Caenorhabditis elegans: one gene and its partner. The protein of the gene in region 1 purifies or fractionates together with the protein of each later gene. This does not show direct contact. Each region holds a gene or a part of one and is shown in the gene's direction. Other genes may lie near its edges. The genes, in order: atg-13 and cht-1.

Evidence for each region.
Region 2: the proteins of atg-13 (region 1) and cht-1 fractionate together in Caenorhabditis elegans (co-fractionation; one large-scale study listed by BioGRID). This does not show direct contact.

The regions. Positions count from the first base shown.
Region 1 is NC_003281.10:8,155,340-8,160,086, reverse strand, and holds atg-13 (Autophagy-related protein 13 homolog), read left to right. Parts: upstream 1-1,896; 5' UTR 1,897-1,918; coding exon 1,919-1,993; intron 1,994-2,480; coding exon 2,481-2,995; intron 2,996-3,047; coding exon 3,048-3,207; intron 3,208-3,259; coding exon 3,260-3,470; intron 3,471-3,513; coding exon 3,514-3,671; intron 3,672-3,715; coding exon 3,716-3,853; intron 3,854-3,936; coding exon 3,937-4,011; 3' UTR 4,012-4,140; downstream 4,141-4,747. Other genes in the region: inpp-5K (Inositol polyphosphate 5-phosphatase), read left to right, coding at 1-28, 469-669; D2007.1 (uncharacterized protein), read right to left, coding at 4,145-4,228, 4,315-4,424, 4,473-4,614. UniProt on the Caenorhabditis elegans protein: Component of the unc-51/atg-13 complex required for autophagosome formation. Required for the degradation of germ cell specific P-granule components such as sepa-1 by autophagy in somatic cells.
Region 2 is NC_003284.9:3,396,864-3,401,829, reverse strand, and holds cht-1 (putative endochitinase), read left to right. Parts: upstream 1-1,812; 5' UTR 1,813-1,813; coding exon 1,814-1,895; intron 1,896-2,068; coding exon 2,069-2,183; intron 2,184-2,318; coding exon 2,319-3,631; intron 3,632-3,687; coding exon 3,688-4,031; 3' UTR 4,032-4,217; downstream 4,218-4,966. Other genes in the region: slcf-2 (Major facilitator superfamily (MFS) profile domain-containing protein), read right to left, coding at 4,362-4,559, 4,613-4,765, 4,813-4,966.

The DNA.
Region 1 (4,747 bases):
TTATCGTGATTGGATTGGAGTTTTTCCGGTAATACATTATTATTAATAGTCAGACAGAAAATATTTTGGAATTTTCGTGGCGAAAATATGATATCTGGTCTCGACGCGGCAAATTTGTTAAATGCAAAGAGATATGAGCAGAATTTTTGCTGATGCGGAATTTTCATTGATTTTTTATTGTTTTTTTTTTAAATATAACAGTATATTTGTTAATTTTTTTTAAAAATCGTGTAAAAACTATTTTAAAAAACGTATTAAAGGAAGAAAATTCCCCAACAGCGAAAATTCGAAGTTACAGTTCTCTTTAAAGGCGCTCGCCTCTTGGTATTCAACAAAGATTTGTCGTGCCGAGACCGGGTAACATATTCTTGGCACGAAAATCACAAAATTTTGTGGTTAACTCGCGTATTGGTTTTATTGATTGGACACTACACCCATTATTTTTATAAAATTATTGATTCATTTCAGTCCAGCATCAACGACTGTACCACTGCCACAAATTGGATCTATGCTGCCACTTGTTTTGAGCAAGTAATTGAAGGTAGCAAATTTCTGGCTTGTGAATTCAATAATATTCCTGCTGGAAACTACCGTCTTGGATATTTTTCTTGTCATCTTCATTGTCTTGTTGGATTGTCAAAAGTCTTTCAAATAGTTGAACAACCATAGCTGTATTATAATATATTATACCGTATATCTTCTATTAATATGGCCTCCCTATTAGACTTGCACTCACTATTAGTATTTCCCCTCGGAGACCTTCCGAAAATTAGTATGGTACTCCCTATTAGTGTTACACTCCCTAATAGTCTTGCGTTTACTTCTTTGGTGCAAACCCTCTTTAGTAATTTAAAGATTTTTATAACACTTATTGCTTATTTTGCAACAGTTTTTCACAACAGTTCTACGAGATTAAACGTTTTTGAACTTATATGTTACAATTAAAATCAAGTTTTCTGAATTTTCACATAAGATTCGAGCTTTTTCAGAAAAAAAACTAGTAAGCTCAAAGTCAGAAAAATGTTCTGAAAATTAGTATTGCACTCCCTAATAGTCTTGCACTCCCTATTAGTATTGCAAGCGGGAAGACCATCGAGAAATAGTATTGCAGCCATATTAATAGAAGAAATACGGTAGATTTCATATGTATTTTTTGTACAAAAAATCGATATTTTAACCTCGGTACCGGAGGATTTAATTTACTTGCCAAAACTCGTAACACTTAATTGTGATTTAGTCAAACATATACTATAGTCCGGTCCATATCTGTGCCAAACATATTAACTAGTGTACAATATTATTAATAAAGTGATTTATTTCAAACTTTATTCATATTATGGATTCAAAATTAGCAGTTTTTCGTTTCCACAGTTTTACCTATTCTTTAAAATAAACTACCTTCAAAACAAATTGTGAACATAATTTTTCCGAGCCATTCCCAGTGAGGCCACATCTGTGTATTGCACCCAAAAATCCTAGTCCTCGAGTTCTCGGCCATCACGTGAAGCAGGCGCACCCAGCACTCCACAGTTATTGATTCAAGAACCGATGACAATTGTGCACATTGAGCATCTTTACACTTTTAAAAATTGCTATCAAACATTGTTAAAATAGCCAGCTGCTCAATATGTACTGCCGTTCTTGCACCTTTTATCCTTGAACTCTCCAGTAGAGCAGCAATTTCAAAAACTCGCTCTCAATGCAGGATTATTTCAGTTTTCAAAAGTATTAACTAGGATTTTTTCTTCTAACTCCATTTAAAACACTCTTCAACCATTCTATTTTCACCAAATTCTTCAACATCTCACTTTCTCTCTACCACCTCTCCAGTTTATTGTATCACTCATCTCGTCTCTTTTACGCTCATGTGACTACTACCATCGTCTTGTTTTTCAGATCAATAATATATTATTTAAACATGGTAAATGAGTACGACACGTACAACAAATGGCTCAAATTCTTCTCGGTGCGAATGGTTCAATCTATAATTCAGGTATTTATAATTTTTTTTTTAATTAAGAGTATTAATGCTCCGAAACTCATTTGTTTTATTGAAAATCCGAATTTATTGGCGCCATTGTATGTAAAAAATAATTTAGTAAAATTAAGTAAAATTCAAACAGGTCTGAGACTTTAATGGGTACTGTAGTTTCAAAATTTCGTTGAGCTTAAATATTCATCGATTTTTCATAGTTTTCGTATGAAAATCTATTAATTTATCGAAAAAAAAAACTAAAATGAAACATGTGAAATTTCTGAAAAATCAATGAAATCTTTTGAAGTAAAGACATAAATTCCGCAGCACCGATCAAAGTTGGAAACTACAGTACTCTTTCAAGGCGCGAACATTCTCGCATTTAACAAAAAATTTGTCGAGACCGGGTACAGTATTTGTGGCTCAAAAAATAAAAATTTCGCATACAATAGTTACCAAACAATAAAAACAAATCAAAATTTCCTAATATTCCATAAATTTTCAGTCTCGCCTCGGCGATGAAATTGAATCAAAATGTGTACCGTACTCGGAAAACGCAGTCGACTGGTTCAATATGCGAATTGACGAACTCGGTGAAATCTCAGCTTATCTTAAATCCAACATCAAAAGTTATCCACCTGTCGGAACTCTTACTCTCGAATTTCTACTCTATACACCCAGTGGACAACTATTACCACTTGAAGCGTGGATTCTTAGCTCATCAGAAGGAACTGATGATTGTTCAAGAAATGAACTTTATCATGATATGAGCACATTGCTTCGATCAGCAATTGTATCAGCCAGAATGACTCCAATGCATCGATTGTATGTGAAAAAGCAGCACTTGGAGACTTTTGTAATTATGTATAGAGTTTTTGAAAATGATATTTCATCTGATATGGGAAAAGGAAAGAAAACTAGAAAAATTGGAGAACTTGTATCAAAATTTGGAAATATCAGTCTTGACCTACATTACCGAACATCAATGCATTTCGAGGAACCAGAGATTGCTCCAGTAACGTAAGGGATTAAATAGAATAATTTCCGATTTTAAATAATTATTAAATTTCAGACCTGTTGAAGATGTAGAAGAGGAAATTGATGACGGGGAAAAGACAGTTGTAGATGAAAATATTCAAACAAGAACTGTCTCAGAATGTGTTCCAATTGCTGATGCTAAAAAAAGAAAAGCAAGTGGAAGTGTTGAATCTGCTACAAGTGCTGGAAGTTCTGTAAGTTTTCAAAAAAATTTTATGCAAAGTCAAACGAATTAAAAAATTTAAGACCTCCCGAGAAGCTGCTCCTAGATTTATTCTTGGACAATCAACATCAAGTGAAGACTCTCGACATTCAGATGTTCAAAATTCTTATGAAGAAGATCACAAACCATCTCTAGCAGATCTACGAAATCATTCATTCCCATTCGTGAATCTACTACAGTCGGCATACAATCCAGCAAATGGAACCAAGAAAAACTCTTCTTCTACTTGTCTCAGTAAGAATATAAAAATAATTCAAATATTTATTATTAAATCTAGATTCTCCAAAATCAACTCCAGAAGACAAAGAGCCAACGATAGAAAAGGTTGCTGAGAGCTTCCGTGCCGCTAAAATCGACGAAGTTGTATTTGAAGAAGATGAAGATGAAGAGTTGCCACTTGATTCAATGGAGCTGAGTGAAGATTCATTTGTTCATGTAAGCCTTAGTTAATCAACGAGTCGTTAATTATTTCATTTCAGTTTAATCAGCTATCAGATTTCGGTGGTGCGCCAAGTCTTGGTAATGAGCTGGGAGACTATCTGAAGCAGCTGAAAACTGCTCCCGATATGACAGAATCCGGTGATATTGATATTTGTAACATGGACTTGAAAACAGAGGTGAGTTTGGAAATAAATAGCTAATGGCATTTAAACCAAAAACTATAACTAATTAACAAATTCAAATTTCAATCAAATTTCAGCTCGAAAAAATAAGTTCTCAAACTGCCAACTTCAACAATTTCCTGAAACACGTCAATTCGTTCTCCGATGAGTGACTTTTTTATTGAAAATTTACAATCTCCCATATTGTATACATCGCATGTACACTTTTCACACGTTTACACTCGTTTCACAATTTTTTGTGCACATATTGTTTTTTGAATATTCATAAATGTATAGTTATATAAATTATCGGGAACACTTTCCATTGCGACATTGCTCAGAAGTCTTGCAACATGCATTTCCACATTGGTCCCGAGTAACTGGACAGTTCTGAAACTTTTGAAAGTTTATGGGTTTCTCTGTGCAGTTTGAAAAACGTATACAATAAGTTTTTAATTATCTTTGAACTTGTTTACCGATAGTCTTGGGAAGCAGCGGTTTCGAAGACATGTCTGATCAAAGTTACAACATTCATAAGCAGAACATTGTGATGCTTGTACTCCACACCGGCTCGTGGAAGCGGAAGCTGGAATGTAAATCCAAAGATCATTTGAACAAAGAACTAAAAAAAAACCTTTTGAATAACTAGGTGTTGGAGTACTTGTTGGTTTTTTCTTGCCAAAAGAAAAGATTGATGAGAAAATATTGTTGGAAGCGGCGGATTCTGTTGACACCACAAGCACCAAAATTACAAGAATCAACGATAAGATCTTCATTCTAAAAATATTTTTTTGGAATATAAAAATAAAATGTGTTATGGGTTTGACAATTATTCAACAGAGACTTCAACGAAGAAGAAAGAGAAACAGAGAACGAGAGAAGAATGAGCAAGTGATTAATGTCAGGTGA
Region 2 (4,966 bases), on another chromosome or scaffold:
TCGAGACCCACCGCAGAGGGCGAAAAGTAAAAGGAGCATTTTAAAATGCGAAAATGGATGAGTCGTACTCTCGATGCCAAAAAGATTTGTGGATATTAGCTGAAACACGAAATAGCTAAATACGATCCGATGGAATATCTTCTGAGCAATAGTGATGAGTCAACGAAATTAATTTGATAAGCAAACACGTTATTAATAAAATTTCAAAATCCTGTTCTATTTGTCATCATCATTTAAGTAACGAAAAATGAAATCTGACTAATCAGTATAAAAGTGAGACAAAATAGTGTTTTTAATAAATAGATTGTATTTTCTGATTCTGAAATTGTTCAAAGGTGGCTTCTTGTCAGTAAGAAGTTTGTTTAATTATCACAGTTCCACATGCCCAAATATCATAATTTAATACTCAATTTTTTTTGAAGATTTTTTTTAAATTTTCAGTCTTACATAGAAGTTTTTGAATATTGCCAGAGAAGTTGAAGCATTGCATCAGGCTTCAGCTTTAATGTTCAAATATGTGTATCTAAAGCATAGGTAATTAGAATAGAAAATAAAAGAAATTCGTTTTTTTTTTGGCGGGCTTTCAAAACGAGTTGTCCGCGTCACTGTCGAAATTGGTGTATACTAGCGATATTCATAAATTTGTGTTTCCGAAAAAGTGAATAATTCCAGCAATATTCTCGTGCCCGTAGAATCGAATTTTTTTCGAGGTTTCTAATTCCAAAACATTTTCCTTTATAAACTGTTAAAACTTATGTGCATGTTAGGTGATCGTTTTTTGTTAGTACATATTAAGCATGATTTTGATTTGAAAAAATTCGGTTGATCGAGAGCTCCAAAAACAACAGTGCTGTAAGCAATGCACTTTTAACATGCTTTAAACAATATTTTTCTATTCGTCGTCACTTCCGTTTTAAACACGGTTAAACTTTCCGGCATACTTGTGTGGGTGTTTGTCATGGGACGCTCTTAAGTATTGAAAACACTTTATCTGTTATCAGACATTGTACGTGAAACAATATAAACTTTTGTTATTTTAGAAATAATATATAAGCTCTCTCTCAAAAATTTAAACATGAAAGCAATATTAATAATCAATGTTAAAGTGCTCGTCTGACCGTATTTCCCAACTGTTTTGTAGTCTGATCTTTCAATCTTACTGAGCAACAAGATTACCATCTTTACGACTGTCTCTTCAATCAATGTTGGTAGACTGCTCATTCATTAACACCCTTCTTATTAGAGAGCAAAGATCAAATCCTGCTCGGCTATTGTTCATGATGTCATAAAGGGTCTGGGCCGCATTAATGGGCCGAGATTGACCTAGATAAGGTGCTCCGCCCACCTTCCCATGTAGAGACCATTCTATGTAGCCACAATCATTCAGACATTTTTGTTGGCTGCCTGACGGACCAACTCAATTATTCTACCTTTTGGCCTGGTACAGGCCTGATTATTGTCTACGTGTTTTATTCAAATTTGTTTTTTTCTTGGATACTTGGATTGACTCAAATCGTCATAATTTTATTGTTTGTGCGGTGGTTTTTGCGGAAAGTGGAGTCCCCCTCACTCACCCATCCTCATTTCTTTTCGCCTTGAGCGATAATCGTTGGAAAATGAGCACACTGTACGAAGTGCATTGTGAGCCGAGGTGCTCAAACAACCGCCACCAGTCCGGCTACCTATGTACATTTTGGTCATTTTTGTTCCTTTAAATTGCTTGTTTTTCCGCAATAGCCCTTTCACCCATTCTTCTCATTCGAAAATTTGGTGAACGTATTTCTGAATAAATATATTTTTGTATTTTTTCAGCATGCTATTAGGCAAATTCCTTCTCGTGGCAAGTTTCATATTGCCAATTGCATACACATGGACGGGTGCTACAATTAGAAACCGTAAGTTATCTCGGCAATTTTTTCTAATGACTGTTCAGCTGAAACCATTGAATTTCTGATACAGACTGACACAAAAAGTCTAGTATTGACTTTTCAAATGGTCACTCAGTGTTTGCCAATATAGTTCAAGAGCACGTAAACAAAACCCCGCTGTTCTCACACGTTCTCTTCAGATCCGGCGGATGTTGTCGCTGCACGAAACAAAATCACTTCACGATCAGTGGCGAGATCCGAGCCAACCAATAGCTACATCAGACCGTGCTACTTCACCAACTGGGCTCAATACAGGTTTGAAATTTAATCGTATTTGTGAATAGGGGGACGATAATCGAAAGATGATAGTATGCAGTGAGGAATGAATAGTGGGAAAAAGTTCTGGTTTTCTGGTCTGCAAGTTAGTTTTTTTTTCAATTATTTTTTCAGACAAGGACGAGCCAAGTTTGTGCCAGAGGATTACACTCCAGGACTCTGCACGCATATTCTCTTTGCATTCGGATGGATGAACGCTGACTACACCGTTCGAGCATATGATCCAGCAGACTTGCCAAATGATTGGGCTGGAGAAGGAATGTACAGAAGAGTTAACAAGCTGAAAGTCACTGACACCCAACTCAAGACCCTTCTCTCGTTCGGAGGATGGAGTTTTGGAACTGCACTTTTCCAAGGAATGGCTGCCAGTTCTGCGTCTAGAAAAGTTTTTATCGACTCTGCTATCACTTTCGTTCGCACTTGGGGATTCGATGGTATTGATATCGACTGGGAGTACCCTTCTGGAGCAACTGACATGGCTAACTACGTTGCCCTCGTGAAGGAGTTGAAGGCTGCTTGTGAGTCGGAAGCCGGAAGCACTGGAAAGGATCGTCTTCTTGTAACCGCCGCTGTCGCCGCAGGACCAGCCACAATCGATGCTGGGTATGATATTCCAAACTTGGCACCGAACTTTGACTTTATTCTTCTCATGAGTTACGATTTCTTCGGAGCATGGGCTTCTCTTGTTGGATTCAACTCTCCACTCTATGCTACGACCGAGCTCCCAGCTGAATGGAATGGATGGAACGTTGATTCATCTGCTAGATACTGGAACCAGAAGGGTATGCCAAAAGAGAAGATCATCGTCGGAATGCCAACATATGGACGAGGATGGACTTTGAACAATGCCAGTGCAATTAATCCAGGAACAAGCGGATCCCCAGCTAAGATCACTCAATATGTTCAAGAAGCCGGAGTTGGAGCCTACTTCGAGTTCTGCGAGATGCTCGCCAATGGAGCCACCAGATATTGGGATAGCCAGTCTCAAGTTCCATATCTCGTACAAGGAAATCAATGGTGGTCGTACGATGATGAAGAGTCGTTTGCCAACAAGATGGCATACGTTAAGAGAGAAGGTTACGGAGGAGCTTTTGTATGGACTCTTGATTTTGACGATTTCAATGCTGGATGCAGCAACTCTAATGGTCAGCTTTACCCACTCATCAGTGTCATTGCTAAGGAGCTTGGAGGAGTTATCATTCCAAAGAAAGGTGGCGTCACAACTGCTCCAACCACTGTAGCAACTACGGTCACAACTGGACGCCCTCCAATGACTTCAGCAGTAACCACAACTACTGCCGCTACCACAACTACAACACGTGCAGCTACTACAACCACAGCTTCCAATACAAATGTCTGTTCTGGAAAATCGGATGGATTTTATCCAAACAGCAACAACTGCGGACTTTTCGTTCTTTGTCTGAGCTGTAAGTTTTTAAAAATTATATTATTTAGAATGTTTATGAACAATTTTCAATTTCAGCAAAATCATACAGCATGTCGTGCCCATCAGGACTTCAATACTCTGCTTCCCTGAAATACTGTACCACTTCCACTGCTTCTGGATGTTCTGTGACCACTACTAGAGCTCCAACTACGACAACAAAATCTGCGCCAACTGTCACCACAACTACAAGAGCACCAACAACCACTACACCGGCTTTCAAGTGTACCAAGGATGGATTCTTCGGAGTTCCGAGTGATTGCCTCAAGTTTATCCGCTGTGTGAATGGTATTTCATACAACTTTGAGTGCCCCAACGGTTTGAGCTTCCACGCTGACACAATGATGTGTGATCGTCCAGATCCATCAAAATGTGCAAAATAAGTGTATTAATTTCCAACATCTGTTTAATTTCATTCTTGCATTCCTTATTTCCTATAACTTCGTTATTCCCACGGGCCACCTGTCATTTGTTGCTTGTAGCAACTCAAAAAGTAAACAATTTATGTTATTCATTTAATGTATATTCAACTTTAAAACGTATTTATTGTATCAATAAACGTATATAACAAAACACTTTTTTATTTCATGGACAATCTACAAACAAAGCGACCCCTAATTTATAACTACATGCATAAGAACCCATTTTTCTTGAGAGACCAACTTGTTTCGACGATTGCCAACTGGTATCAATTTTGAAAAGAGAGACCCAGTTCACTTTCCAATGTTTTTGTAAATGTTCACTCCAAAATCGAGAAGAAATATGCAGCACGCCAACTGCACCACAAAACTGATAAAGTTCATCAGCGCCGGTTTTCCACTGAGATATGCGAACGTTTTCGAGGCTTTGTGTTTTAAGTATAAGAATACATTTGTTCCAGGAAACTCTGGTGAGAAGTGACGATTGATTTCCTGAAATTAAAATAGGTATTTAAAATATAAATGTTCTAATTATTATTTGTTACCTGTGGAGTTTTTCCTGCAGTTTCGGGAAGCCATTTGTAAGTAACACCTACATAAACTGTGTTCATTGCTACAAATGGTATTAGTACATTTGATATTCCATGAGTGTTCAAAGCAGTTAGTAGGCAGTTTGTCAAAACCCCTCCAAATCCATTCTGGAATAACCTTAAAAAATTGTTACAGCGAAACATCATGAACAAACCTGAACGATGCCCACAATAGCTGATCCCAAAACTTTATCATTTGCGAGGAATAGTTCGGGTACGATCGCGTAAGCCGATTCGCCACTGATCGCAGCGACGGATAAATCGAAAGTTGCTAAGATGGGAATGATAACAAATAGGGGAATGACATTC